4 linked regions of the Mus musculus genome follow. The protein of the gene in region 3 interacts with the protein of the main gene of each other region in a pairwise test. Links are inferred from orthologs where the notes say so. Each region holds a gene or a part of one and is shown on either strand. Other genes may lie near its edges.

Evidence for each region.
Region 1: the proteins of Mipol1 (region 3) and Cct3 interact in binary tests that used the Homo sapiens proteins (3 or more experiments, as listed by UniProt). The two-hybrid records come from large-scale screens. The link is inferred for Mus musculus from reciprocal best matches to the Homo sapiens genes MIPOL1 and CCT3.
Region 2: the proteins of Mipol1 (region 3) and Ttc12 interact in binary tests that used the Homo sapiens proteins (3 or more experiments, as listed by UniProt). The two-hybrid records come from large-scale screens. The link is inferred for Mus musculus from reciprocal best matches to the Homo sapiens genes MIPOL1 and TTC12.
Region 4: the proteins of Mipol1 (region 3) and Utp25 interact in binary tests that used the Homo sapiens proteins (3 or more experiments, as listed by UniProt). The link is inferred for Mus musculus from reciprocal best matches to the Homo sapiens genes MIPOL1 and UTP25.

Annotation. Positions count from the first base shown.
Region 1 is NC_000069.6:88,294,415-88,302,617, forward strand, and holds the start of Cct3 (T-complex protein 1 subunit gamma), read left to right. Parts: upstream 1-2,720; 5' UTR 2,721-2,821; coding exon 2,822-2,852; intron 2,853-4,927; coding exon 4,928-4,989; intron 4,990-6,385; coding exon 6,386-6,436; intron 6,437-6,514; coding exon 6,515-6,577; intron 6,578-8,203. Other genes in the region: Tsacc (TSSK6-activating co-chaperone protein), read right to left, coding at 345-419, 977-1,013. UniProt on the Homo sapiens protein: Component of the chaperonin-containing T-complex (TRiC), a molecular chaperone complex that assists the folding of actin, tubulin and other proteins upon ATP hydrolysis.
Region 2 is NC_000075.6:49,436,668-49,443,003, reverse strand, and holds the end of Ttc12 (tetratricopeptide repeat protein 12), read left to right. Parts: intron 1-1,067; coding exon 1,068-1,167; intron 1,168-2,621; coding exon 2,622-2,847; intron 2,848-4,547; coding exon 4,548-4,623; 3' UTR 4,624-6,043; downstream 6,044-6,336. UniProt on the Homo sapiens protein: Cytoplasmic protein that plays a role in the proper assembly of dynein arm complexes in motile cilia in both respiratory cells and sperm flagella.
Region 3 is NC_000078.6:57,452,064-57,459,517, forward strand, and holds the end of Mipol1 (mirror-image polydactyly gene 1 protein homolog), read left to right. Parts: intron 1-4,889; coding exon 4,890-5,124; 3' UTR 5,125-5,178; downstream 5,179-7,454.
Region 4 is NC_000067.6:193,124,846-193,132,735, forward strand, and holds the start of Utp25 (digestive organ expansion factor homolog), read right to left. Parts: upstream 5,407-7,890; 5' UTR 5,306-5,406; coding exon 5,199-5,305; intron 5,139-5,198; exon of another isoform or gene 5,007-5,138; intron 4,686-5,006; coding exon 4,646-4,685; intron 3,702-4,645; coding exon 3,422-3,701; intron 1-3,421. UniProt on the Homo sapiens protein: Component of the ribosomal small subunit processome for the biogenesis of ribosomes, functions in pre-ribosomal RNA (pre-rRNA) processing. Essential for embryonic development in part through the regulation of p53 pathway.

The sequences.
Region 1 (8,203 bases), on a different chromosome or scaffold from region 3:
AGATTAAAGGCATGCGCCACCACGCCCGGCTCATATCTGGCCTTTTATATGATTTAGAGGAGCCACACTCAGATCCTCAGGTATGCATAGCAAGGACTTTACCCACCGAGCCACCTCTGCAGTGCCCCGACATATCCTTTTCAATGGTCCTAGGTAGCCAGTATTAGCAGCATTGTACTTGAGGAATCCCATGTTAATAAAATTTGGTCAGGATTCCACAACTGGCACATGGCAGTTGCATGGAATTAAGCCAGGGTCTCTAGGCAGCAAAGCTGTGATCTACTTAGTGACACTTTACAAGTGCTATAAAAATAACTCATCAAAGTCAGGTAGGTAGTACATGCCTGTCAACTCAGCAGCTGGGAAGGCTGTAGCAGGACTGTTTCGAGTTTGAGGACATGCTGGTCTATATAACAACTCTTTTAAAAAGAAGAAAGAAGGAAAAAGAAAAGAAAAGAAAAAAAGCTGGACACAGTAGGTCATACCTATAATCCCTGGGATGTGACTGTTCTGGCAAAAGGGTTGTCTCAAGTAAGGATAGTGAGTTCCATAGCCAGCAAAGTTAAACCTATCTCCTTTACCCAAAAATATCCCACAAGTACTTTCCAAGTAACCAAGTAGCAGGCCACTGTTTAGTGGCAAATGTTTAGTCATTTCTGAAACCCTGAGTGAATGGGGAAGGCTGGCTTCTGAGGGAGGGGACACAGGGGCTGTGACACACCTTTTTCCTTAGTTTCATTTCTGAAACCCTGAGTGAATGGGGAAGGCTGGCTTCTGAGGGAGGGGACACAGGGGCTGTGACACACCTTTTTCCTTAGTTTCATTTCTGAAACCCTGAGTGAATGGGGAAGGCTGGCTTCTGAGGGAGGGGACACAGGGGCTGTGACACACCTTTTTCCTTAGTTTCATTTCTGAAACCCTGAGTGAATGGGGAAGGCTGGCTTCTGAGGGAGGGGACACAGGGGCTGTGACACACCTTTTTCCTTAGTAGGGTTACTAGTGTGCTGCTCCATCTTGACAGCAACAGGTCTGGTGCCTGGGAAAGAATAATAGGGTCACATGGTCAAACAACAGTGTCTTCTTTCCTAAGCACTCCCCTGAAAGCCCGAAGTGTAACAGTATATAACAGTGTATACACTATCTCATAGAGGTGTCTGGTTTTAAATGTAAAATTTTTAAGTTTTAATTATGTGAATATGTACATATATGAGTAGATCTCCCTTGAGTGAGAGGTGACTGTGAGCAGCCAGACATCAGTTCAAGGAATTGTGCTGAGGTTCTCTGCAAGAGCAATATACCCTCTAAGCCCACTGAGCCTTCCCTCCAGGCTGCCTCCCTTATGTGGTCCAGGGAGACTGAAGCCACTGAAAATCGCTATCCTCTTGACTCAGCCTCTGGAGTTTATTACAGGGGTGTGCTACCACACCAAACAAACAACTGTTCTGAAATTGTTAATTTTTCTCCAATTCCCTTCGGCAGTTTTTGTTAGTGCCTTTTCACTGCAGAAGACAAAGCATACCAAATACGAACTTTAAATCTATCACAAACATGTCATGACTCTTTGAGACTTCTGTTTAATTACTAGCCTTATTTTTTTTGTTGTTTTGTTTTGTCTTTTTCCTATATGGGGTGATCTGGCAAGAGGCTTGTCTCCAGTTTGAGATCAGCCTGGTCTTTACGACGAGTTTTAGGCCAGCCTTAGAACTCTGGTAAAGATAATACGGTAATTAAAAAAACAAAAACTCTAGTTTCTTTTGTCACTAACCAGTGACCAGGCTGGGGGGGAGGGGGCGAAGAAGACTCATAATACTGCAAGAAACACGACTTAGGATATTCGGGGGAAATGTGAGCGATCCTCCTTTATGTCTTTTTGCCTTAGACTCAACGTATTTTTCTAAGAAGTAAGACATTAGGACAGGAGAGATAGCTCAACAGTTAAGAGCAATAGATGGTCCCGCAGACAGGGTTACTTCCTAGCACCCACGTGGCGGTTCACAATCAATTCCAGTTCCAGAGGATCAGACTCCCGCTTGATCGCCTCTCACAAGTGGTGCACCTACATACGCACAGGCAAAACAACCATACACATAAAATAAAAAATAGGTACATCTAAAGAACAAGAATTTTCCTTCCTTTTCTTTAAAAAAGAAAACCAGCGCGTCTAGAGCAGTAAACCACAACTCCCAGCATGCTCCGGGGAGGCGGGGAGCCGAGTCGTTGCCTCCCCGCCCCGTAGGACAACTTCCACTTTTACACTGCCTCAATCTCTCGGGCCACGACGGGTATTTCTGGCTCCTCTACTCCTCCCTACCGCTAAGGCTGAAATAAAAAGTAGAGAACTATCATGCCTTCCTTGGCCTTCACGGTCGGACGAGAACCGATGGACAAAACAGAGCTTCATGATCTTACCTACAGCATTAATCCAAAGCCTCCACCCCAGCACCCACCCTCTAGTGGGTACTCATGCGCTGTAGCGAGCCAGCTAACTGCCCGTGCTTTGGCGCTTGCGCAGACATTCTGGCCGCACGCGGCCGGGAGCGGCCACGCCAGTGCGCAAGCGCTTGCGTCTCCCAGTCCCCTACATCATGCCCTCTCTATCTAACTTGCCTTGCCTTTCTTGCGTAGAGGGCGGGGCTAATACTGTCGATTGGCCTATGTTTTTGTCAATCAATAAAATGAGTTTGGTGATTGGCGGCACTTCAGAGGTTAGCAGGTTTCTGTGTCATTCCTGAGGAGGCAGCGTTTTCTTCGCTGCTCTTCTCTCCAGAAGGTTCTGCCGATTCCCCCCAGCTCTGGAGAGTCGGCTCTGCGTCGTGCCGCCATGATGGGCCACCGTCCAGTGCTCGTGCTCAGTGAGTTCAGGGAAGGGATGTCTCTCTCCGCCCCTCTCTCCCCAAGCTGGCCAGTGTTGCCCAGCTCCGTCCCGCCATGACTCGGCCCTCGTGCCTTCCAGTGGTCTTTTCGCCTTGGACCAAGCTCCTTCCCCACTTTTCTTCTCTTGCCTCTCCTGTCGCCTTCTTTTGACAAAATGACTTTCCGCTCTCGGAGTCGCTAGTCTTTACGTGTGCTTCATCCTATTCGCGTTCGGTTCTTTAGTCGCCACCCTCCACGCCCCCGTGTCCTTTACAGCATGATTTCCGTGTAGATAGTAATGATGGTTCTTAACGGTAGGCCTTGCTTCCTATGCTCGGTCCATCCCTCCGTAGAGGCGTGACTTAACGGCAACTCGCTTGATTGATACTTTAGCATCAGTATTTAGGAGGCTGTAGTAGAGTTGTTAAGTTGATAAGTAAAAGCTGCCTTTACCGGCAGATCGAATCGGAAGTGGCATCTTTTCAGTAGCGGTCATTCAGCAACCCTTGTTCGGAAATGACATTCCTGGCGTTCCCGATCTTGGATGTGATCTTTCCCACCAGCCAGTTCTCCCAAATTCCTTTCCTGGTTTTCTTTCCTCTTTAGGGAACGCCACTCATCTCAGTAAAGAGCACCAGTTCCTTGTCAGTTACCTGAGCTATTGAGAATAACTCAGTAAGCCTGGGTCAAAGTTAAACATAGTAAAGAGAAAAACAGATTTAGTCTGGCCACACTGGGAGGAGAGACAAAGGTGTTCAGTGACACTACCTCTCCTACACACTCGTAGACGAGTCCATGAGGTTTTAAGCAGCAGGCCAGATTTGTAAGAAGTCATTATTTTCTGCTCTAGTCTCCTGAGAGAAGTTTACCTACAGGGTGGCTCTCAGGCTTTAGTCTTTTTCCTGTTCTATCGTGAGATTCCTTGGCTTGTGATTGATATTTTGTTTGTTTTCGTCTGTGTATGGCACCAAGATTCCCTGGAATTGGAGTTACAGGCAGTTGTGAGCCACCTTGAGGGGCTGGGAATTGAAGCTGAACCATCTTTCCAGCCTCACAAGCAGACTTTCTTGGTCACTAATCTTTGAGACTCTGTGGCTCCTCTTCCCGGGGATGTTGTAAGGGGTGTGCAGTCTTGTGAAAAATCACTGTCCTACTGAGGCCCATTCAGGGCACTCAAGATATGAATCACTGGAAATATGTAAGCATGCATACAAGGAAAGTACTGGTCAAGACTATGAAGTTGAAGCATTTCAGGTTATCTCTTATTATACCGGGGGTTCTCTCATTATCTGTGTTTTTTGCCTGCCTCTATGTCTGTGCCTGCAGACACCAGAAAAGGACATCAGATCCCCTGGAACTGTAGTTAGAGATGATTGTGAGCTACCATGTTGGTGCTGGAAATGAATGCAGAGATCTCTGCAAGAGCTTCCAAAGGTTTTAACTACCAGGCCATCTCACTTCGTAACTGGCTAGCCTGGAACTAACTCACTTTATAAACCAAGTTGGTTGGTGTTCAAGTCACAGAAATCCATCTGCATCAGTGCTCGGATTAAAGGCATATGCTACCACGCTCAACCTTAAACAGTTGTAATTGACTGCTGGTTATACACTGAAAACTTTGTATTTATTTTTATTTTCAAAACTTGATGAATAGGGTTGGTGGTAGGATGGCTCAACAGGTTTAAAAAAAAAAAAAAAGCTCCTGACACTAAGCCTAATAATAACTGGAGGTCTTTTTGTTGTTGCTATTTTTGTTTGTTTGTTTGTTTGTTTGTTTGTTTCATTTGAGGCAGGTTCTCTATATATATGCCAAGTCACAGAGATACTCCTGACTCTGCCGTAAGTGCTGGGGTCAAAGGCATGCACCACCCTACCTGACTTGGATGACCAAGTTTGATCCCTGGCACCCATGTGATAGAAAGAAAATTAACTCTGAAAGTTGTTTTCTGACCTCACAGTTTTGCCAAGCATTTGTACACCTGATATATACATTAAAATGTAGCATTTTTTTTAAGTTAGGAAATAAAATGATTGTGTACACTGGGCTGTTGACATGTGTTTTTGTCTGTTTTAGGTCAGAACACAAAGCGTGAATCTGGAAGAAAAGTTCAGTCTGGAAATATCAATGCTGCAAAGGTAGTGCATGTTTTATGAGATAACAGCAGTTTGTTCTGGCTGACTCTCCTAATACTTCCTTATTGGTAGTAGCAAACTTCCTATGGTTCTGTACTTCATACAATGAGCAGAGGAAAACTTGCTTTTTTTTTCCAAGGCATTTCCCTGGTGGTGATACAGGAAGGGAGGTTTTTAAAAGATTTGCTTGTTTTACTTTACTGTTGGAGTGTTTTGCCTCCATGCATGTATGTATGTGTGTACATGGCATGGAAGCATAGAGGAGGTGGTCAGATCCCCCTGAAACCGGAGCTACAGGCCATTGTGAAAGTTCCCGTATCAGTGCTAGGACTTTAATCTAGGTCCTCTGAAAGAGCCCTGTCCCCTCTTGTTTGGGTAGCCTAGAATTTACTGCGTATAGTAGGTTGTCCTTGAACTCATGGATCTACTTGCCTCTGTCTCCCAAATCCTGGGGCTAAAATCATGTGCCACCACTCTGAGCTCAGTAAGTATATTTTTGAGTGAATGATTAGAAGTCTTGATTTCATGTGGACCAGAGGCCACTGTCAATAAAAGTATTAATGCTGAACTCTTAGGACACTAAAACTGAAATAGCTTCTGAAAATTTATTTGTTGTGTCTAAAATAGTTACCATTCTCGTCGTTAAGTGCCATTGTTAAACAGTGGCACTGGCTGGAGAGATGGCTGAATAGTTAAGAACACTTGCTACTCTTTTTTGTTTGTTTGTTTGTTTGTTTGTTTGTTTTTTTCAAGACAGGATTTCTCTGTGTGGCTCTGGCTGTCCTGGAACTCAGTCTGTAAAACAGGCTGGCCTCGAACTCAGAAATAAGCCTGCCTCTGCCTCCCGAGTGCTGGGATTAAAGGCATGCACCACCACACTATTAGACATACTGGAAGAGGGCATCAGATCCCATAACAGATGGTTGTGAGCCACCATGTGGTTGATGAGAATTGAACTCAGGACCTCTGGAAGAGCAGTCAGTGCTCTTAACCACTGAGCCATCTCTTGAGCCCCAAGTATTTGCTACTCTTGCAGAAGACGTAGATTTGATTCCCCGAACCCAGGTGGTAGCTTACAACCTCCTGTAACTCCAGTTCTAGGGTATCCAACATGCTCTTCAGGCCTCTTTGGTCACCAGGCATGTATTTGAAGCACAAACATATATTTAGGCAAAACACTCATACCCATAAAAATAAGTCTTTAAAACACTGGCTATGCACTGGGCATGGTAGAGTATGCCTTTAATCCTATCATCGAGAATCAGAAGCAGGCCTGTCTCTGACTTCAGGGCCAGTCGGAGCTACCTAGGTAAACCCTGTTTAAAACAAAACAATGGTTATTAGAAACACTCACATTATTCTCTGCTGTGCTTCTTGTTTTGTGTTTCCTTACCAACAGACAATTGCAGACATCATCCGGACCTGCTTGGGACCTAAATCTATGATGAAGGTTGGACTACCTTTTATTGGAATTCAAACCCCATGTCCTCCTTTTTTTGTTATCTGTAACACTTTTGCTTTTTCTTAGATGCTTTTGGACCCAATGGGAGGCATCGTGATGACCAATGATGGCAATGCCATTCTTCGAGAGGTGTGTTTGGTTTTGTTGTTTTGTTTTCTCACCTCCTTTCTAACAGTTTTACAAATACCAAGAACCTATTCAGGTACATATAGATACCTGGGCATAGTGTTGTATGCCTCTAATCTCAGCACTTTGGGACCAGAGGTAGAAGAAGTAGGATCATGAGTTCAAAATCATCCTGGGCTAAAATAACCCTGTCTGAAATCCAAGGGTTATCAAGGCATGATGGCAGTGTGCCTCTAATCTCAGTATTTAGGTGGTAAAGGTAGGAGGATTAGGGATTTGAGATTAATTTTGCAGGTTCAAAGCCTCTGAGTATTTGGGACAATAGGTTCAGAACATTATGCCTGCCTAGTCTGCTATGGTTGTCTTAAAAAACAAACTCCAGATGTGGTATATGCCTGTCTTCTCAGCATGAAGACAGAAGAGTAATTGGAGGACAGTCTGAGCTATGTATCAATAATTTGTCTCACAAAGGGAGGCTAGAAGATATATCTCTGTTACAGTGCATCTTTCTCATTCAGAAGGACTTAGATTCAATTCCCAGCACCACAAAATAAGGTGATGCACTAGAAACGTAATTTTCCCATGAACTGAAGCTGTAAGTGTGATATCAAGGTTTCAGTGGGGCCTAGTTCTGAAGACTAAGTAAGAATCTCTCGTTTCTTATGCCAGTTAATAATGTTTCTCAGTCCTTTCTGTTGTAAGTGCAGAGCCTCTGTTTCCATCGTATGCTGCTAAAATTCTTGTGTGTCCTTTATTTGTAAAAGAATGATGGGACTCACGTTAAACCTGTATGACCTTGTTTTAACTGAATACATCTACAAAGACCACCTTCCAAGTGAAAATGGGTTCATGGGTCAGAAGGTTTAGGCCTTAGAATCTATCTTCAGAGGACATGATTAAGTCACTATGGTGTTTGTAGTACTAAACTGTGCAAAAGCTTTAAAGGTTGTATTTAAGGCGTGGTGGCGCACGCCTTTAATCCCAGCACTCGGGAGGCAGAGGCAGGCAGATTTCTGAGTTCGAAGCCAGCCTGGTCTACAAAGTGAGTTCCAGGACAGCCAAGGCTACACAGAGAAACCCTGTCTCAAAAAAAAAAAAAAAAAGTTGTATTCTCATTGACACTTTTCCCCACAAAAGTGATCTGCTTAAGATACTGGGGGTGGGGGAGTAACTATGAGCCAGGATGTACCTTCTAGAGATACATTTTCTGGTGGTCGTGTGAACCCTCCAATAAAGAGGGCTAGGAACTGAACTTGAGTGGATCCTCTGAAAGAGCAACAAGCACTTAGACAACCACTGAGACAACTCTGTAGCCCTTAGTTTGTTTGTTTTGTTTGTTTGTTTGTTTTGATCAGGGCTTGGAACTTGCTGTGTATGATAGGCTTTGAACTAGAATGTACAGAGATCCACCAGCATCTGCCTGACTCTTCTGGGATTAAAAGCATGAGCTACTACCTGGCCTGGGGCTGTTTTTAATTTAATTTAATCTGAGAGATATAGTAAAACACAGGGGTTAAGGGAGTATGAGGCATTCAAGAGTTGTGGCCAAGCAAGGGGGGATGGCAAGGTGGCTTAATTTGCTGCCAAGCCTGACAGCCTGAATCCAGTCCCCAGCACTCACATGGTAGA
Region 2 (6,336 bases), on a different chromosome or scaffold from region 3:
AGATGTCATCTCTGCCTGAATAGAGAGCCAAGTCTTCCATCTGTCCCTGAGCAGTGACAAAGACCCTTGAATGAATAAGCAAATTGTTCTTTGGCTACAGTGGTAAAACCGGGCTTGCCCTCCATACCCAGCTTGAAATGTGCAGCCTCTGTCCTTGAACAAAGGTGTACTGAACAGCTTTTGGCAAGGTCCCATAAGGCAATTATTTTGTTCATGGATTTCTGGTACTTTCTGTCTTTATCCGGAGTGGACCAGTTGTTAACTCCATCTGTGAGCTTTGGAGGCTGCAGAGTTATCATGTGACCAGAGGATGTTGGAATTTCCCGAATGAAGTAGGTGCAAAGAATCCAAGTGAGGAGTTAGATCCACCTGGAAAGGCACAGGGAATTATCAGACTGTTGCCTCTAAATCCTACCCATGCACTGTCACTCATGTTACTGATGCAGTAGTACTGCTAAGCGGGGCAGGAAGCAAGCTCAAGCTGGGGAAGATGCCACCAGGCAGGGCAGATGACACCGGGGCAGGGTGAAGGATCTCAGTGAAGAGCGACGCTTGGTCAGTGCCTGTCATTATCCCTACAGCTTTGGCACTATGCCAGAGACTGCTGGATGCATCCACATACATCCTAAAGACCCTGATATTATGGAATTATGCTTGCATAATTGTTACCTCTTATGATGATCTCAGTTGGTGACTCTTCACAGAGATTATCAACCCTTATTCTCCAAAGCCAAAGGATGGGAGGGGGGCATTTGCTTCCTTTTGGGAAAACATCAGCTACTGAACAGCATCACTGTTGTCTAAGACAGTCTCTAGTAAAGCCTTTCACTTAGTGGTGTCAGGTGTACAGGCAACAGGCCTACGTCGTCACCCTGGGCATGGGCTAGGTGGACAGTTGGGTTCAAGTGACCTCCATCCTTGCTCACTTATGGAGCATATGTCATACTTCATCTAATCCTCTTACAGATGCCACGGAGGCCACTGGCACTGTTATAGTCACTGAGGTATCTGAGCAAGAATGGCTAGACCCTTGATCTGACGTTTCTGATATTTGTTCTGCAACCTAGATGGGAGGCCAGACTGCATCACGTTACGCCATAAAGATACTGGCTATCTGCACGAACAGCTGTCATGCAGCTCGGGAAGAAGTAGTGAGACTTGATAAAAGTAAGTGATGGTTTCATTATGGGAGCCCAGGCCTCAAAGAGGGATTCACCCTGGGAGCTGCAGAGAGAATGGAGGCTGAGGAGGAGGTGGGGAGATCTAGACAGCGGGGCTCCCTCCCTTGTAGTGTTTCCACAACCGGATGTCAGTTCACCTCCCGTCACAAAGTGTCTCCTTGGCCTTCGGTCTGTGCTTCCTTCGGTAAAATGCCAGGCAGCTCAAAGATCACAGGGCAGAAGCTAGACAACTTCCCCCACCCGTGACGCTAACCTGGACTTGTTTCTATAGTGATGCTGGAACCGGCCTAGCACCGGCTCTCTCCCTTCTTGGAAGGAGGGCAGAAATGAAGCACCTTCAATCCTAAGATGAGAGCAAAGGGACTTTCAGCATTGAGGCCAACTGAATTCATTAAGACTGCTTTAGACAGTTAGCCTGAAGAGTGTTGATGTCACTCCATCATAAGATAGATGTGAAGGCTACAGAGTTACCACGTGACCAAACACTACTTTAATTTTCCCACAATCTAACTTAAACTCTAAATCCACTGTAGCTCTTCATGGGGCGTTGGGAGGCAATGGTCCAAGCAGGGGAAGATTCCTAATGTTCTCTATATCTCCTCCTCCTCCTCCTCCTCACACACTGACTGACTGGATGGGGCCCACAGAGGACAAGAACTTTCCATCTGAAAAGATGCAAACCTCTCACTCAGGCAGGGAGGTGATGTAGAGTGGGGGGAGGGGTCTTGAGAACAGACTTTTCTGACACTCCAAACCATTTAAAAAACAGTTAGGGTTTCATTGCTGTGAAGAGACACCATGACCACAGCAACTCTTAGAAAGGAAAACCTGTAACCAGGCCTGGTTTACAGTTTTCGGAGGTTTAGTCCATTATCATCGTGTCAGGAAACATGGCAGGGCGCAGGCAGACACAGTGCTGGAGTACAAGCTGAAAGTTCTCTACTTCAATCTGTAGGCACGAGAAAGGGATTACATACCATCCTGGGCAAAGCTTAGGCATAGGAAACCTGAAAGCCCACCCCACAGCAACACATTTCCTTTAACAAGGCCACCCTTTCTCCAACAAGGCCACACCTTCTAACAGTGCCACCCCCTATGGGCCAGGCATTCACACTCATGAGTCTATGAGGGCCATTCCTATTCAAATGACCACAGTCTCAGATGTAGCTCTAGCTGATCTATAACTTGTTATGTAGATCAGACCAGCCTCAAATTCACACAAATCTCCCTGTCTCTGCCTCCTGGGTGCTGGGATTAATCCATCATGTCCAGCTATGCAAAGCAAGTTATACCACAGTACAAAGCTACAGGGAGAGCACACACATTTCCCCAAGTTTCTGAAGAAGCTTGCCATCCACCCCGTCAACCTCCCCTGCCCATCTTGGCAGCCTTTTCAGCCGGTCTGTTGCAATTGCTCCCTCTACCCATGTTTCCCTGTAGAGTTTGACCTTTTGATGCTGCTGCTTGCCTCTGAGGATGAAATTCTGGCGGGCAATGCTGCCCTCTGCCTTGGCAACTGCATGGAAGTGCCCAGTGCAGCCCCTTCCTTGCTGAAGACGGACATCGTGAGGGTGCTCTTGAAGCTGGCAGGCAGCGACTCAAAGGAGACAGGCGTACAGCTGAATGCAGGCATCGCTCTGGGGAAGCTGTGCACTGCTGAGCCCAGGTCGGTTGTGGTCACGCTGAGCCAGGCCACCCAAGTGGTGATAACATCTCAGAAAGAGCAGGGCAAACCAAGCACTGTGGGAGGAACCCACAGAGGTACCACCTCCTGCCTTGTGTGCAGGCCACTCGGGGTCCCCATGAGCTACGTCTCTAGGATAAGGGTCCTTCCTGTGGGGGGAAATCACAACTTCCAGCCTGAGAAAGGAAATGCCTTTGACAGGGTTTGGTTCCAGGCACATGGTCACCATCTGTTCATCCACCCTGCCTTCAACTGTCTCCATTTCATTTTCTTCTTTCTCTCACACATCCAGTCCTGTCTCTTCTTCTTCCTCTATTATTGAGCTTTCTGTCACTGTGACAAGAATGTTCATTTAAAGAAAGACTTATTTTGACTGATGGTCTCAGGAGCTTCTTCAGCCTCTGCTCACATGTGTCTTTGGACCTGTTGCAAGGCTGTGCCCCATGGCAGGTACATAGCACAGAGGGGAGCCATTCATGTCACGGTTCCCAAGAAGCCAAGAAAGACACCAGAAAGGACAGATTCCCCAACTCCCTTTTGAGAACACCCCAGTGACCTAAATCTCACCCGCATTAGGCCAAGCACACTAAAGCTTCTGTCATCTTCTGACAGTGCCATAGACTGGGACCAAGGCCTCAGTGCATGGACCTTTGAAGTACATTTAATATGCAATCTGTAACACATACTGTCTTTGTCTCTCTGTATGTCTCTGCCCCTGTCTCTTCTTTGCCCTCCCCATCTCTCTCATCTCTCTTTCAATATCTCTGCCTCCCCTCCTCTCTCTCCCACTCTTCCTTCCTCCCTCACTTCATTCTTTTCTCTCTTCACTAGTTGGCCTATAACTTGCTTTATAGCTCAGGTGGATCGCAATCCCCCTGCCTCTGCCTCACCAAAACTGAGACTGTGGCTGTGCACTACCATGTTTAGCGCCTCATCTTTTTCTTTACTTTTCTGGACCAGACTTCTAATTTTTTTGCTGATTGATTGGCTCGTTTATTGATTGACTTGACTCTAAGCAAATGGAGGACTGGTCAGTGCCAGTAACAGTCTCCTGCTGGAGAGACAAGGCTACAGAACAGCATGCCTGAGACCAGCCAGCAAGCCGGAGCATCATTTACCTGTCCTGGACCTGTTATATGCTTAACCATCCCATGGTGTATGTCTCAGGGTGTTTCCCCATGGCTGTGCCATGGTCCATTGCATAGAAGTAAGGGAGACCTTGAGGATGGGGTTCAATATGGCTCCTGCCTTACAGCTGCACACATCTCTCCCCCCCCCCATCCCCCCGAAATGAGAAGGCTGGTTTGGTTGTCACTGAAAGCTCTTTCAAGTCCTCTCTGATTGATCAAGTAGAAGAAAAAGAGAAAAGCTTTTTTTTCTACAAAAAGAGAAACCCATTACTAGGATAAGTTCAAAGTGGCCCCCTGCTGGGGTGGGATGGAGGGCTTTCCTAAGAGCACAGCTTCATCTGACCGGCCTGTCACACCTGACACTGAGTGTTCCCAGTATTGTGTGGGTTCCCCTAGAGTCCCACTACTCTCTTTGATCTTTAAGGCTCTCCTGTGCCACTGTCACTTTCCCTTTCCCTCGAGTGATCAGTGCATGGCCAGCATCCATCTGCAGAAGGTAGCTGTGAAGTGTGACGTATATTAACCTGGATTCTGCATCCTGACTTACCACAGGTTTGCTGCCCAACTGCGAGAGCTTCACGGGATACAAGTTCTCAACTCTACAATGAAACACTTGAATGATTCTTGAAAGACACGGTGCCAGTGTAAAAGCCTGTGAGCACACACACACACACACACACACACAACTCTGGGCCAGGGGTCACTGCTCTGCTAATAAATTCTTTTTAAATATTTAGCTCCAAAACTGGATGTCTGCCGGGTTTTTGCTGGGAAGAAGAGAGCAGGTGGCTACCACAGTAGAAACTGCTGCTCTAACAACTGATGCTTGCTCTAGCATCCATCTCCCATGCCTTTGACCTGCTCCTTCATTTTCTACTGAGGCTGGAAAACAGCCTATCAAAAGCCTCATTTCCCAGGCACCCTTGCAGCAACACCACTAGATGAGAACTAGATCCTGAGGGAAGCATCAGGGGTGTTTGGTACTGACACCTTAGCATCTGCCTGCAGCACTCAGCCCTATAAAAGACTGGTGGTAGCACCAGGGTGGCAGCAGCTACCTGAATCCCAACTGCATCTGTGGCATGTGCTTTTGAATCCAGTGGGTTAAGTGATGATGGGTGGCTCCCCTGACAAGGGAGCTGTTTCTAGTCCTGGGCCTGGGGGTCAGCATTAGCATCTGGCTGCTTTCTTACAAGTACCCCATGTTAGGTGTAAGATGGTTCTGGACTGAAAGTGAGAGAACACAGGCTTTTATTTGCAGAAACCCAGTTGGAAGTCTGGATGAAAATCACTAACCTGGAGCCCTCTGTGTGGGACCAGTGCACTGTGGGCAGCTGGTAAGAGCTCACTGGAGTATTCTACAATGGGGCTGTAACAGTGTCCCCAGGTGCCAGGCAGGTGCCAGGCCTCAGCAGAGAAGGTGGGACCTGCCCATTCCATGGCCTCATGCAAACAAACCTCCTTCAAGCAGCCAAATTGCAAGGGAGATGTGTGACGGTAAACAGAGCAGAGAGGAAAAGTAGAGGTTGCAGAATCTGCAGCTTTCAAAGAACTCGGCAGGGCTTGGAAGGTGGCATCGGGGTGCAGAATCAACAGGCTGGTCTCCATTGCAAGGTTCATGCCTCTCTCATGCTGCTACATTCCTCCTCTCTGACTCTGAAAATGGCTGCCGTAGGTAGAACCCCATCCCCAAAGAGTGGGGACTGTCACATTCCACTGTGCTTGAGAGTTCACGCACAGAGTTGTAATCTTCACGCTGGCGGTGGGGTGGTTGCACACACTCGACAGGTGGAGAGACATGCCTTACAAACTAGCCATCTCGCATCTCGTAACCTCACAAGGATACCATGAGGCAGATATTGTCTTCACTATAGATGTAAAGAAACCAAGACTTCCATGCCTGGGGCCATGTATTCTGTAAATAGAGGAGTCAGAAGTTAAGGGCAAACTAAAGACTCAAAAGTTTGTTTGTTTGTTTTTAACTTTTTTCTAATGTAAAACATTTCTCTCCTTGTTGAATGTGGCTTGCAAGAAACATCTAATTTTTTTCTGAGTCTCTTTCTTCTCTGTAAAATGAGAGTAATAGTTCCATCCGACCTTCTCCACTTTGGATACTCAAGACTTATATAGCACAGGGGTGGGAGGGTGGAGGGTGGCTTAATGGTCATGACGGATATACTAGAAATGATTTCTCCCCTCCCTTCCCTGTCCACCAAAAGATCCACGTTTACCATTCCCCCATCCTATGTATGCACATAGACACTCCCAAACCCCACCTCCAGCCAACAGTGGCCTCCCTGTATACTTATGAGACTGTCAGTCTAAGAATGCCAATCCTAGC
Region 3 (7,454 bases):
ATATTAGTATATGGTCAGTGGGATGTAAACTACAAAGTAAGGGGAAAGCACATTCATTAAGTTATGAAGAGTACATGAGTAGGGTTATGAGACACACTCGCAGAGAAAACATCAAAATTTAAATTGTAACTTCCCCTTAAGCCCTATGACCTGTCTAGTGTGGGTTTTGTTTGGTTGGTTGGTTTTGGTTTTGTTGTTGTTTTCTCGAGACAGAGTTTCTCTGTGTAGCCCTGACTGTCCTGGAACTCACTCTGTAGACCAGGCTAGCCTCAAACTCAGAAATCTGCCTGCCTCTGCCTCCCGAGTGCTGGGATTAAGCTACTGTGGGCTTTTTAAATTAAGACTTATTTATTATGGAGTGCTCTCCTGCATATACATTTGCAGGCCAGAAGAGGGCATCAGAACTCATTACAGATGGTTGTGAACCAGCATGTGGTTGCCGGGAGTCGAACTCAGGACCTCTGGAAGAGCAACTGAGGCTCTTAACCACTGAGCCATCTCTCAGCCCTGTCATGGGCTTTTGAGTGAATTTATAATACCAACACCAGGTGTGGATTCCTTCCTGTGAAGCAATTCTCTACTCCAGTCAGAGACCTATTACTTGCCTTCATAAGATTTGTGCCATTATTGCACAAGTGTGCACATCTTGCCTGGCAAGTTGATAGTGCCATTCATAGGGCTCACAGCTAGGTCCACTGACACCTCCCTTCTTTCTTCCTCAGCTGACCACACAGGACCTTCCTACACTGTAAAAGCTTTCTAGCAAGGACAATTCTTCTAGCTTAGTTCTAGCATCATTTTTCTATATCATACCACCACAGTAGGTGGTATATTCATCTATAAAGTTGGTATATTCTTATCTTGTAGTCATGGTAGGCAAACAAAAAAATGGCAAGAGCCATATATAATTATAAGAGAGTAGCTTTCCCGTGGATTTTTCATATAGCCTTCCTTTTCATTAACCTGGCGCCTCCTGTTTCCTACCCTGCCACCTCCTCCCTGTGTAAACCTCTCTATCCCCAGTATTACATCCTCTACATTCATAACACCTGTGCTTAACGTCCTCTCTCCCTTAAAGTGATGGTTTGTATATGCTTGGCCCAGGGAGTGGCCCTATTGGGAGGTGTGGAATTGATGGAGTAGGTGTGTCACTGTGGGTATGGGCTTAAGACCCTCTTCCTAGTGGCCTGGAAGCCAGTCTTTCACTAGCAGCCTTCAGATGAAGATGTAGAACTCTCAGCTCCTTCTGCACCATGCCTGCCTGGATGCTGCCATGTTCCCGCCTTGATGATATTAAACTGAACCTCTGAACCTGTAAGCCAGCCCCAATTAAATGTTCTTTATAAAACTTGCTCTCATCATGTTGTCTGTTCACAGCAGTAAAACCCGAACACAGTATCTTTCTCCCAATAGCTTCTTTCATAGACTACTGGTGTCTGTAGGAACGCTTTATGTTGAAAACACAAAATGAGAGATTCAAACAGAGGGTCACATACAGTATTATTTATTCCTGTGCCTGGGTTACCTCACTTAGTATAATTTTTTTTCCAATTTCATCCACTTACCTGTCAATCTCATCCATTGTGTATATGTACCACATTTTTCATTATCCACTCATCAATTGATGAGCATCTTGACTCATTCCATTTCCTAGTTATTGTAAATACAGTAGCAATAAGTATGGATGAACAGGTATTTCAGTAGTAGGCTATAAATTTTTGGGGCGGTACACCCACTCAGAGGAGAAGGGGTATGGGAATAGGGAGAGGACTGTGGGAAGGGGTGACCGTGAAATGGACAGTGAGTGGGATGTAAAGTGAATAAGAAAAATATAATACAATAAACTTTTAAAAAATAATTGGGGTGGGGAATATGTCCAACAGAGGAATAATCCTGTGGTAGTTTCCACAAATTTCCATAGTGGCTTCATGAGTCTTGTAATCACACTAATAATGAATTTAGTTCTATTGTTTAGCTACACTGACATATGCTCAAACTGCCTTCTAAATTGTGTGTGTTTGTTTGTGCGCATGTGTGTGTGCTTATACACAAAGATAACTACAACCTTTATCAGAGATACTCTTTCCAGTGAATTGTGGTGCTTACAGAGACTTAGGGCTACACAAGTACAGGAATAGGTGTCAGCTGAGTGTTCAGCCCTACACAAGGCATTTAATATCATCCCCTCCTAGGTTCAGGGGGCATTGCAAGAGAGGAGAGAGAACAAATGTAAAGGCCAGAGAAAAGGGCTGCAAAATGCTCTAATGCCAAAGGCCAAATTCTGAATACTACAGGGCCTTTATAATTACAACCTCTCGACAAACACAGGTGACCACTCCAAATCTGCACAAGGACTGCTGATGGCCACTCACTCTGAACTGTCTCCTACTGATAGAGAGGAAGAGAGAAGTCTTTGCCTTCCATTGTATACCCACAGCAGATTCCACCAGGTGGCCCTGATTAAACTAAGTGGATCACCAAACCAAACCAAATTCAAAGTCTTGCATCTGAGAAAGGGACTGGCAGGTGAAAATTAGGTTGATAAGAGAGGAAGATAAGAGAAGGTGCGGGGGTGGGGGGGGGGGAGAGTAACCAGAATACATTATATGTTGGATGTAGTTACCAAAGGACTAACAATAAACAATTTAAATTTGGAGAGTCTCAAAGGTTTGTGTGCAGAAGCAGAGTTTAGACTGAAATCTCCCCAGTGAGTAGGAGTTTGTCACAGAGGGAAAGTGGTGCAAATGCAGTGGGCAGGAAAAGCTTTCTGTTTAAGAAACTGGTTGAAGGTCGAAAAGCCAGTGAAGAGCTATGGCAAGCACGGAGTAAGTGTTCAAACACAGGGGCTAGGAGTGTGGCTGTGGGTTCAAATGCAGGCTCGGCTAGGGGGTACTGCTGGGGTGATGGGATTATTTAAATTCCCTGCCTCTCTCTGTTTCAGTTTCTTCACTCATAAAACAAAGACAGTGAATGAAACTATTCAAAAAGGTTGTTTGCAGGTTCAGTGAGTTAAAATATATAATTTGTTATTTTTAGGGATTTTTTTTTTCCCAGAGTGCATGAGATGCCCCTGCAGGGTGTTAAGTGATACCACTTAAAGGCAGTCCAGCCACTGGCCCAACTTGGGATCCATCTCAAGGGGAGGCTCCAAGGTCTCACTATTACTGATGCTATGGTGTGCTTACAGACAGGATCCTAGCATGGCTGTGCTCCCAGAGGCCCAACAAGTAGCAGACTGAGACAGAGCCAGATCCAATCAATGGACAGAAGCTGGGGACCCCTGTGGTTGAATTAGGGAAAGACTGGAAGAAGCTGAGGAGTCGGGCAACCCCATGGGAAAACCAGCTGTCTCCAGAGACCTGAGGCCCCAGGGAGTAGGGAGTTCTGGAAGTATGGGGGCGGGGGGGGGGGGGGAGTGGTGACATCCTCTTGAAGACAGGGGGGCAGAGGAATGGGATGAGGAACTGTGGGAGGGAGGACAAGGAGGGGGATAACAACTGGACTGTAAAAAAAATAAAAGTAATTTAAAAAAAAATCACTAATTCCTACTGTTTGGTACTGTAGACTGTAGCTGGATAACATCCTGATGGAAGGGGAATCTTTGGGAGACAACCTGAATAATGAGTAGCCTCTGTGCTGGGATGTAAAGGGAGTCACATATCTCTCTGCACTTCATTGTAATTTTACACGGGATAACCAACTGACCAGAGTTTAGCACCATTCTCTATTGTTGGGGATTAATTTAAATCCTGAAATGATTTCTTTTGATATGTTAACTGTCTTGGTTTCTATGCGATACCTACCCCATATTGAGGACACTGTAGAGGCTTTTCTGTAACTTGAAAAGAAGAAATAGATAATCACACTCATCTGAACAGTTTTAGATGAAGCATCAGGCTAGTATTAGGCCAGTACTGAAGTTCTCCAACTAGCTTTTTTGCGGCTTTAAGAATTATATTGCTTTCATTCATATTCTCAACTTGTGTTATATAGCTCAGTGGTTGCACTTCCAACACTTCTGGCGACATTTCCTTTGTATTCATATACCAGAATGATTTTATTTAATAAAAAAAGAACATCTCCTATGTGGATTTTAAATTTCCCTTATTAAATATTTATATTTTCAAAATGTCTTTATTTAATTGAGTGAGGTGCTTGGTGCCATTTCAAAATAACCTCAGGTGGTGGGTGTAATGACATATCAAAGATCTGACCTTTAGCATTTTAGGATTCTATTTGTCTGCATTTTCTTCTGCATTCATTTCGTCTTAATTTATATGCTCTTTCTCCATATCACTTAATGAGTAGATGTATTTATCATAAGGTTCATTAGCCATAAAGATAGGTATCTGGATGCACATCCTCTGACTGGTGACTTTACATCATTCATCCTTCCACTGTGGCAGGTGGAAGGGTCTGTGTGTGAGGCTGCTGGGTATTTGCACAAACCTCGTCCATTCTCACTTAGTACTTCGATAGGCCCTAGATCTCCTAGACCGATGTCCATTCTCCTCCCCTGTCTTTGCAGTCAGCTTATTATACTTTTATTTACCTAGAAATACTTTATTTTCCAGTTCTGTGCTATCCCTTTAAAAGAAAATTGAATGTAATATTTACACTGACATAATTAAATTAACATTTTACAGCATCTTTCTGTGTGCTTTGATAGCATAGATAATCAGTTGTCTGCATTGCTCCTGGCCTAGTAGCAGAGTTACAGAACAATGATCAATTATAATAATACGTTATAAAAGCTATTTACATTTGCCCATTTAGGTATTCTATATTGATTTTTAGAAGAGGGGTTTCACATGAAGATTTTTTTTATTAAACAAATCATTGAACTTTTAGCCTACATTATTTATATTTGTATTTTTACATTTTCTCAGCTTGCACAAATCATTATCTCAAGAAGAAAGCCTGAAGGATCAGTTTAACCATGCCCTTAGTACCTATGAAGAAGCCTTAAAAAACAGAGAGAGCGTTGTCTCCATCACTCAGCAACAGAATGAAGAACTGGCCACCCAACTTCAGCAGGCTCTCACTGAGCACTCTCACATGGAATTACAGCTTCAGTGTGCTGTGGAGGCCTCCCAGGCAGCCAACGAAAAGGTTCAGAAGTAAGTAACCGATCCAGCCCTGACCCTAAAGGCATGAAACGTTAGAGAAAAGAAAAGGAAAAAAAAAAAAAAAAAAAAAAACTTTCCTTGGGAAACCCAACAGTCCACATAGTTTTTCTTGTTTGTATACTTACTAATGCTCTCAGGAAAAAGTAGCCAAAATGAACTTTTTAAGCTGACATTTCACTTCCTTTTTCAATAGAAAAAATTATTTGCTTGGCCCTTATTGTTACCCTATGATTTGGGACAGGTTGTATATACTAAATGCCCCGGATCAGCTCGTGGATTCTGCGGTGCTTAAATCCTTCCCCAGTGTTATTTGCAAAGGGGAGGGGCAGTCAAGTAACCAGCAGCTGCTCTCACTGAGCCTCACTGTCAGGGCCCTGGAGAAGAGATCTCCTGTGACCTTGTTCACTGAGCCTCTAGCTGCACTCAACCCAGTACACAGAAATTAATTTTCTTGTGTTGTTCTTTAGAAGTATGCGATGCAGCTTTCAGAGTGCATAATTATATTTGTTTATTTTGACAGTTCTTTGCATTTTTATTAAAATTTAAACAAAGCTGCATAATCAGTCCGTCCTTACAACAGTGCACAGAATGTTAACAATTTCCCAAGCAAAGATGTCCGTTATTAATTTATGGAACTTGAACACTGTAGCAGCATTTTCTGAAGAAGTTTGTTATGGAATACGGCGTGTCGTCCTAACCTTCTTTTGTACGAGTAACAGCAGCACGGCAGCATTCACAAACTGTATCACCTCTAGTTGCCAACACAGCATCTTTATCTTTTCTCTTTCAGACTCTGAGTATTAGGTTGTATGCCCAAGGACCGTTACTCCCTTGACTTCCTAGGTGAAATCAGTCATCTCAGCCGTTTCCCCATCATCTCTGCAACTGTATTTAAATTGATAGACCAGACTCAGGGGAATCGAGGCAAAGGCATTTTGGAATAATTCAGGGGTTACACACTTTAATCTTTACTGCCATTGTACCTTGAAACTTTTGATTAAGTCCTGTTAATTATCTGTTTTAAGATTGGGTACAAATTCATTTGGAAACTACATCTGGTTATTTGCAATGTGCATTAACAAACTAAAAATGCTGTGATATATAAATTGTATTGTAAATCACAGCAACTTGGACAGTTGTGATTTACTCCTGTTTGTACCGTCTACAAATAATTTTAAATGTCAAAGTTTATATGTAAGTACTTCATTGCTATGTGACTAAAATTCCCTAAAATAAGGGTTTCTTGAGACCAGTTAGTTTTCAAAATGTTGGAGATGTCAATATTTATCTTGCCAGTTAGCATTATCATGTTTTAAAAGAAAGATCTTTCGTATCCCAGGGAGTGGAAAGATTGTTGTCTCGGGAAATTAGTAAATTGGGTAGTTTTAGCTATTAAGCAAACTTTTATCATCTTTATTTTGCACGTTTAACCACAAACAAAATCTTTTTAGTGGAATACTACCAATCTGGGGATCGGTTTAAGTACAACATGTCATTTATAAAAGTTAAGTGTTGAAATTGCTTCTCCACTCTTTCATTCTGGTTTCCAAGAAGACCCACGTGAGCTATTTCTTTTACGTCTTCTATTTGTTTTGTTAGCCACAAATTAGGTAGTAGTGTGCATCTTCATCGTGGTTATATGAACATCAGCCTGTGCATTCTCCGGAATTTTTAGGGAGATTATCCTCTGAAAAGACAATAAATAAAACTTGGTAAGATAGGCTAAGTATGCTCTATAGTGTCTGACTTTTCATTGTAGTAATTCTTTGAAAGTATGTAAATACTTTATAAAATCAAATGAGAGAGATCTCTTCTCTCTTCACAGCCAAATCTTGAGTAGATGATCAATAATAATCTTTAATTTTTTAATATCTACCTATTCCTCTGCTCTTTATTACATTGTTGGCAACTGGCTGAAACTGTTCTTTATAAGATTCAAAGTAATTTCCTAATTCCAAGGTCCATGGTACATATTAACCATGTTCTTATATTATAACTGAAAAATAATTATGATAAAAATAAAGATGTGCATATATGATTAATATAACATGATAATTTGAAAACTTAGGCTTTGGGTTACAATGCGTAGGTAGGTACTTGGAGTTTGTTTTGAAACTTCATGCTGATATTCACAGTGACATGCCTTCCTCACAAATGTAGGAACTCAATGAAATAGACATGCAAAGCTGTTGACCAATGATGCTTCATATTATTTCCTCCTGTTATCTTTCTCCCTACTGCACTGCCTGTCTCTTTCCTCAGAAGCGCTCTGCCTTTTCAAGACTAAATGCCTCTGCAAATGTTGACCTCCCTACTTAGAGCCTT
Region 4 (7,890 bases), on a different chromosome or scaffold from region 3:
CCCACTGGGTAATCACATGAGCCAATTCCTTAAAATAGATTTCTATCATAATTAGAAGTTACCGTGGAGAATTCTAAAATACCCAGTTCTAGAACTTACTCTAAAATACTACACCAAGATATAAATGAAAGATGTTGAGAGCAGCCTGAATTATGATAAGAAATAACATGGAACAACTGAAATGTCTGTCAAAGGATTATTCAATAGTGTGTGTTATACATCCAAGAAACTAATGTGAATCCAGAGTTACGTTACAGAGAAAAAGGTCCAGTCTAAGGACAGAACTCAGTAGCAAAGCATAGGTAGGAGGCACTAAGTCCAATGTCCAGTACTGCAAGACTAGGTCCTCCTGCTTCTACCTTCACCAAGTGATAGAATTAGAGGCACATACCACCACAGCTGGTTTTATGTAGCGCTGGGGATAAACTCGGGGCTGTGTTTATCCTAGGCACACATTTCAACCACTGTGCTATATCCTAATGACCCTTCTCACATTTCTGAGGTAAATAAGACAAATGTTTATAATTAAAACATGCAATAAACAAAACCATTTTCCTCTAAAAATTTAAATGCAAAGAAAACCAGCACTAAGAACCTCCAAACATTTAAAAATTATAGCAACGTAAGTTTTTGCTTATTTGTTTTTGTTTTTCAAGACAGAGTCTTACTATGTAACTCTGAATGTTCTAAAACTTACTATGGAGACCAGGCTGGCCTTGAATTCACAGACATCCTTCTGCCTCTGCCTTCCATGTGCTGAAATTAAAAGTGTGCCACTGTGCCCAGCAAGGCAAAGGATTTTTAGCCCAGTAAAGCTAACTAGGAAAACCACTACATGGCTGGTCTAAGATTTTTTTTGTTTTGTTTTATTTTGGTTTGGTTTGGTTTTTCAAGACAGGGTTTCTCTGTATAGCCCTGGCTGACCTGGAACTCACTTTGTAGACCAGGCTGGCCTCTAACTCAGAAATCCACCTGCCTCTGACTCCTGAGTGCTGGGATTAAAGGCATGCGCCACCATGCCCCGCTCTTTTTTTGGGGGGGTGGGGGGTGGGGGTGAGGTGGGGAGTGGGGGGGTGGTGGGCAGGTTAAGATTTAAAACAGCAAACAACAAAAAAAAGTATTTGCTGGGCTGAAGAGATGACTCAGCGGTTGTGACTGCTCTTCCAGAGGCCGAGTTCAATTCCCAGCATGGTGGTTCATAACCAACTGATGCCCTCTTCTGGTATAATTGAAGACAGCTACAGTGTACTCATATATATAAAATAAATCTTTAAAAAAAATTTATTTGCCTATCATGCTCAAGGCCCTAGCTAGAATCAAAAAAGGGAGAAAGAGAGAAAAGAGAGAAAAGAGAGAAAAGAGAGAAAGAGAGAAAGAGAAAGAAAGAAAGAAAGAAAGAAAGAAAGAAAGGAAGGAAGAAAGGAAGAAAGGAAGAAAGGAAGAAAGGAAGAAAGGAAAGAAAGGAAAGAAAAGAAAGCCTGGCAGTGGTGGCACATGCCTTTAATCCCAACACTTGGGAGGCAGAGGCAGGCGGATTTCTGAGTTTGGGGGCAGCCTGGTCTACAGAGTGAGTTTCAGGACAGCTAAGGGTATACAGAGAAACCCTGTCCAAAAAAAAAGAAAAGAAAAAGAAAGAAAAGAAAGAATGACTAAATGAATAAAGGCCTGGGATGTAACTTAGTGGGAAAGTGTGTAGCTGGCATGTATGAGGCCCAGCATCACAGAGGAATGGAGGGAATATGGAGACCATGTTAGGAGGAATGAGGAATGGTAGTGCACACCTTAAATCCCAGTACTCGGGAAGTGAGTTTGAGGCCAGCCTGGCCTATACAGCAAATGCCAGGCCACCAGTTAGGGATAGTGATACTCTCTCAAAAAAGGAAGTGACTGTAAGAATAACAGGACTGAGATAGTGAGATATAGAAGTCACCCACATATATCCAGCAATTAAAAGCAAACTATTAAGAACAATAGCACAAAGGTAAAATAGACACAAGCCAGACATTGCACTACACACCTGCAATCCCAGCACTGAGAGGTGGGAGGTAGAAGGCGGATGGAGCAGGAGGATGGTCATGACTGTGGGCCACACAGTGAACTCAAGGCTGGGTTTACAGAGTAAGAGCCTGTCTCAAAAAGGCTGTGTGTTTAACCATGTTTCCAGATTTCTATAATGGGCACAGCCAGTCTACAGCGACCAGAGTCAGTTCAGTGCCAGCAAAAGGATAGGCATCTCTGTAGGTCATGGAAGGTACATGTTTGTCAAAGCTCAAACTGCATATAGAAATTAGGTACACTTCGTTATTAGTTAGTTTTTCCTACCCGGATCTGGTTCTTGCCTTCCACCTTTACGTGGGTTCCGGAACTCTAACTCAAGCTGTCACCTTTTACAGCAGGAGGTTTTACCCAGTGAACCACCTGGTCAGCCCAGGCTGCCTTCTGTTTGCATATAAACATATTCTAATGAGGCTGATTTAAAAAAAAAAAAAAAAAAGCCAGGCATGGGGGTGTGTAGAAAGATTCTCTTATGTACAGTATGGAAGCATCACTTGTCAGTAAAAAAATGATGGCCTAGTAAAAAAGGCGGGAAGTAAGAGTTCTGTAGAGAGAGAAGAACTCTGGGAGCTACTCAGGTGAGGGTGATTCCACCAGCGGACTCTGAGGAGTAACTAACCAGCCACGTGGCTCGCATGTTATAGACTAGAGGGGCATATAGTTATGAGCTTGTCGGAGAACAAGCCCAAGCTTATGGTCTAGGCACTTGTTCATAACTAAGTCTCAGAGTCGTCATTTGAGATCTGGGGACAGGCGGAAAGCCTTCCTTCACAGGTATACACCTGTATTCCAGGGCAGAAGTCGGATCGTAAGCGGAAGGCCAGCCTGGTCTACACAGTAAGACCGTAACTCAAAAGACGAGCTCAGTCTGACATACACAAGACCCTGGATGTGATTCCCAGGCACAGAAGATCACTTAGCGGTGCATCTGAGCCCTAAGACAGAGTCTCTCTGGGCTCTCAGTCCCAGTACCTCTCAGAGTCACCTTAAGGACCCAGTGAGAGCAGCCTCATCTCCTCTCCAGCTGCTTCATATAAACAAATCTACAACATGAAAGTTTGTATTTTTATGTCTACCTCCCATCAAACCTGGTCTCTTACTGAAGCGGAACAACCTCTTCAGTGAACTGAGCTGTCACAGTGACCACATAATGTCCCCCTGATACGCCAAGCGGTCTTACGGGAGGTTACAAGTCCCCCAAAGAGTAAGCCAACAGCATTTTCCTGATGAGAGGGTCCTGTGTTCCCATCAGAGTCTCAAAAGCTAACCCAACCCAACAAGGCTGAATCTCTGCCTTGGAACCACATGCTCTCACTCAGCCCACACAACACAGAATGAAGAGGACAGGCCGGCCCCAGGCACTTACGTTCCTGTGTCTCAGCAGCCTCCTCAGCAGCCTCCGAGACAGCAGCTTCTCCCACACTGCCATCCTCACTGCCAGCTTCCTCATTCATTTCTGCATCACCTACAGCACTGTCATCTTCCTCTTCCTCTTCCTCCTCCTCCTCCTCCTCCTCCTCCTCCTCCTCCTCTTCCTCTTCCTCAGAAACATTCTTTAATGTAGCAAGCAGTCTGTGGTACCCTGAAACGTGCTCTTGTTCACTCTCTGATTCACTTTCAGAATGTGAAGAATCTGAACTCTCTGGCTAAAGAAAAATGAGAAATTAATATATATATATATTGTTGTCAAAATAAAAATAAGAAAGAAAATGTGAGAAATACATATTAGTGGAATTTCCTCAACCACAAAGAAGGAAATTATATCACATGCAAGGGGATGGATAGAATGGGTGATAAGGAAGTAAAAATAAGTCAGACTAAAGACAAGTAATATTTTCTCTTGCACAAGGAAACTAGATTTAAAAGAAATTAGAAGTCATGAAATCAAAAGGACAAGAATTTGGGAAGAGGAAAGGGATGAGCAGAGATGGAAGACAAACAGTCAAAGGAAGGAAATGAATACGATCAGATAATTTTGACTGGAAAAGTCCTTAGGAAACCCGCTACTTTGTATAATGAATATACATTAACTCACAGACAAAACAAAAATCCCTATGAGCTTTTCAGCAAATATTACAGTCTCATCTCTTGAACCAAGCCGGGCATGAAACTTAAATAAAACAGTTAACCAAGCTATGGTTCTAATTGACATCAGCTGCACGTGGAAAGAAAACTGACTTTTCAAACAAAATTTCAGGTTATGAGTTTTAACTTACATCTCAGACATCAGGTTTCATGTTGCATGATGTAAGAGGAGAATTACAAGCAAGTGTCACTGTCTGAGTCTCCGGGCCCCTTGTCCATTTTATACTGTGTGAAGCCTTTCATGCACAAGGAGCCAGCACTCTGATGAACCCCTTCCACAGAACTTAAGACAGTGTCATGGGGTAGTTTCCAACCATAGCCTCTCTCATCACATGGTAATTTCTACAGCTGTCTCCATCACTTACAACCAATTGGGTAGCATTACTAAAATCACAGCTCACACCCAAAACAGAGAAACACGGGGATGCAAACCAAACTTTACGTTTACACCCAATCTTAAAGGTAACAACCCAATTCCAACTACTATAAAGAAAAAAAGCATTACCAGCTGACAAATCTGCGGCTTGGCTTCCTTCTTGGAAACCCTAAAATAGAAATAGATAACATTAAACTTTAGCTGCTAGTTCGTAACAATCACGAAAAGGCATAATGATTCTGCTTTAAATGAATACCAAAAAAAAAAAAAATGTCCAATACAGGATAATATCCAGTCAGTGTAAAAAATGAAATTCTGCATGCACAAGGGCAGAGATGATCAGCAGACAAAAGGGTAACAGACAAGAGAGCTCAATGACATCTCTTAAGAAAGGATAAGTCAGAAACTGGCTTTTAACGGCACACCGGGGTTCACCTCTCAGGGCCAACTTTATCTCCCGACCTCCCGTCCTGTTTTTGGAGACCCTTACGCGGCCCTGGCTGGGCTAAGCTGCGATTTCGCGCCTGAGCCCGCGCGTGCTCGGATGACAGGCAGCACGGCCCGCGGTCTCAGCAGGTCCCGGTGCAGAGCGCACCTCCGCAGCGGGGTTCCCGTCCTGCACCGACCGGACCCGGCTCAACTCGGCCGGAACCAGCCCTCCCGGCGGCCCGCGCACCCCGACCTGTCGTAGAAGGGGTGCTCCTCGCCGAAGTCGCGGAGGTGCTTCTTCTGCTTCTTGGTCATGGTGCTGAGCATCTGGCTGCGGCCCCGGTTCCGGCGTTTGCCCATAGCGGAAACGTCAAGCTCGCCACAAACAAACAAACAAAACACAAGGTTCCCAGTGGCAAGTTGTCGCTGTCGCACGTGGGCACGCTGGCTTTACGGCGGAGGCGGGAGCCGTAAAGCAAAGCTGCTTTACGCCCAGAGAGTACGACAGGCGTTACACCCTCTGGTCGCTATACTGCCCCCTGCCGGAGCGCCTCTAGCACATAGGCGTGTCTACGCATGCGTGATCGGAACACCAGCTCCTAGGGCTGCAGGGACTGGCTGTCTTTCCGGGATGGAGTGGCTTGCTTTGTGCTTATCTTTTACCTTTTTTTTTTTTTTTTTTTTCTCCAAAATTGAGGAGGACGAGGTTGGTGGTCCTTTGTCCCTCTCCCAGGAGCTAAGAACTGAACCCAGGACCTTGCACTGGTTTTCAAGCACTAAGCGAAATCCACAACCGCGTGGTTCGCTTTGATATGTCAATGTATGCTAGCAGAAATGGTTGAATGCTACTCAGAAGAATAAGGACCATCGCTTAAGGGTGCCCGCACACCCCACTTAACGGCACACTGTCCAGACGGATCTAGCGAGTCAGTCTGTTGAGAAAGATGCAGACACCGATGCTTAGCAAGAAAGATCATTCATTAGTCTCTGGGAGTATGTGAGGTGATCCTCTCCTGACATTGCTTCTTTAACAAAAGCAGAAACACACAAGATAAAGTAGGATCTTGTATGTGTTATCACCCAAACGAGTGAAACTGTACATTTAAAGTTGATGTGTATTAGCCTGAGTGTGAGTAATAGCCTAAACGGGCCAGGGGCGTTGCTCGCTCATATGTAGGGTGCTTAGCCAAGGTACTTTTCAAATCCTGGGGTTTGATCTTTAACACTGAGCAAAACAAACCCACACAGCAAATAAACTAGTGGTGACTCACACCTGTGATCTCAGTCCCCGGGAGGCCGAGGCAAGAGAATGAAGTGTTAGAGACCTTTACTTAAAAAATAAAATTGAGCCGGGCATGGTGGCACACGCCTTAAATCCCAGCTCTTGGGAAGCAGAGGCTGGCAGATCTCTGTGAATTTGATGTTACCCAGGGAAAATAAAACAAGACCCAACTTCTCTAAATAAACAAAGGAACGAACAAAAATAGCTGAGGCCTGTATTTCAAGGACACACAGCAATAGGTGAGGCTGTTTGACACCACACAAAGACATACTTCCCTTCAAAACTAACCGAGGTTCAATGTAAACAAAGTACTAGCTCCAGCTTAGACTCAAAGCACAACTGGAGACATCGAAACATCTTTCTGTGGAAGAGTAGGGGTTTACTCAGGTCCACCTGTCCGCCCTCTGTTCCAGGGTCATCTACTACTAATAATTAGGGTGGGAGTGGGAAAGCCAGTGGTGGTGGGGGACAACCCCCCCCCCCCAGCAAAAAAGTATCAAAAGCCATGCAAACAGAAAGGGTGGTAGCCAGCACCTGGCCTGGCCTAGGAACTCATTAATAGACATCTGTCTTCTGTCTAGTTGAAAGGTATAGTCACTTAGATAAACAAAAGGCTGTTTGCAAAGTGTCCTCACAGGTTTTATGGCTCTGGTGACCGTGTAACCTGGCTCTAACCAATAAAAGCCATACTTTTTTCTCCTTTTACTGCACCCCAAGGGCCCTACCCCACACCCCCAGACATGCAGTTTCGTGTTCTTCCAGAGATCTCATCAGAAGCTGAAGGTTCCAGCACTTGAGGTGACTCTTGCTCTCACGTGGTTTCCAGCATGCAAATCTAGACTATTCCCAGTTTTAGGCAAAAATTCACCCTATCTCCATCCAAGTAGTCTCAGCATTGGCTTGCTGACTATTGGAAAAGAAGTCCCTTTCTTTCAAAGTATTGATAGTCACCTTCAATAAGGTTGACGGAGGGCCTATGTGACTATAACCTGACGGTTAAGAATTTAGCCATTGTCTCTATACCTCTGTGGAAGCTCTCTATGAGCACACATGTGCACATACATGTATACACATGACCTCCCCCCCCCACACACATACCTGGGAAGTTTTAATAAAGACAGGTTTTTCCCCTCCTTTTTTCTCTCTTTCTACTCTTAGAACTCATTTCTCTCCCCTAGGATATCCTTTTATGTATTCAAACTCAAAGTCTTTTCAGAGTTAACAGTAGTTCAGGAAGTGAGTTCTATGTTACTGTACAAAGAAATGCTAGTGGGTTTTAAGTTACTGTTCCTGGGCTGTTTGAAGTGAGGTGGGTAAAGGGCAAGAATATTCTTTAAGAAAAGAGCATTCAGAATACTCAGGAAGGCTTAATAATTTAAAAGAAAAAAGTTCCACAGAAATTTTCAAATACAATAAATAAAAAACTTGACAAAAAGATATGATAGACTTCACAGGCCTGCTACTCAGCCTCAGGGATTACCCATGAGCCTCAGGGATTACCCATGAGCCTCAGGGAACACCCATGAGCTTCACACAATTACCCATCAGCCTTGATATTACCCATCAGCCCCAGCAATTACTCCCTGAAGGCTACCCATTTTACATTTATTGCTCTACACCCTACAAATTTTGAAGCAAATTGTAATAATTATTTAATCTGTAA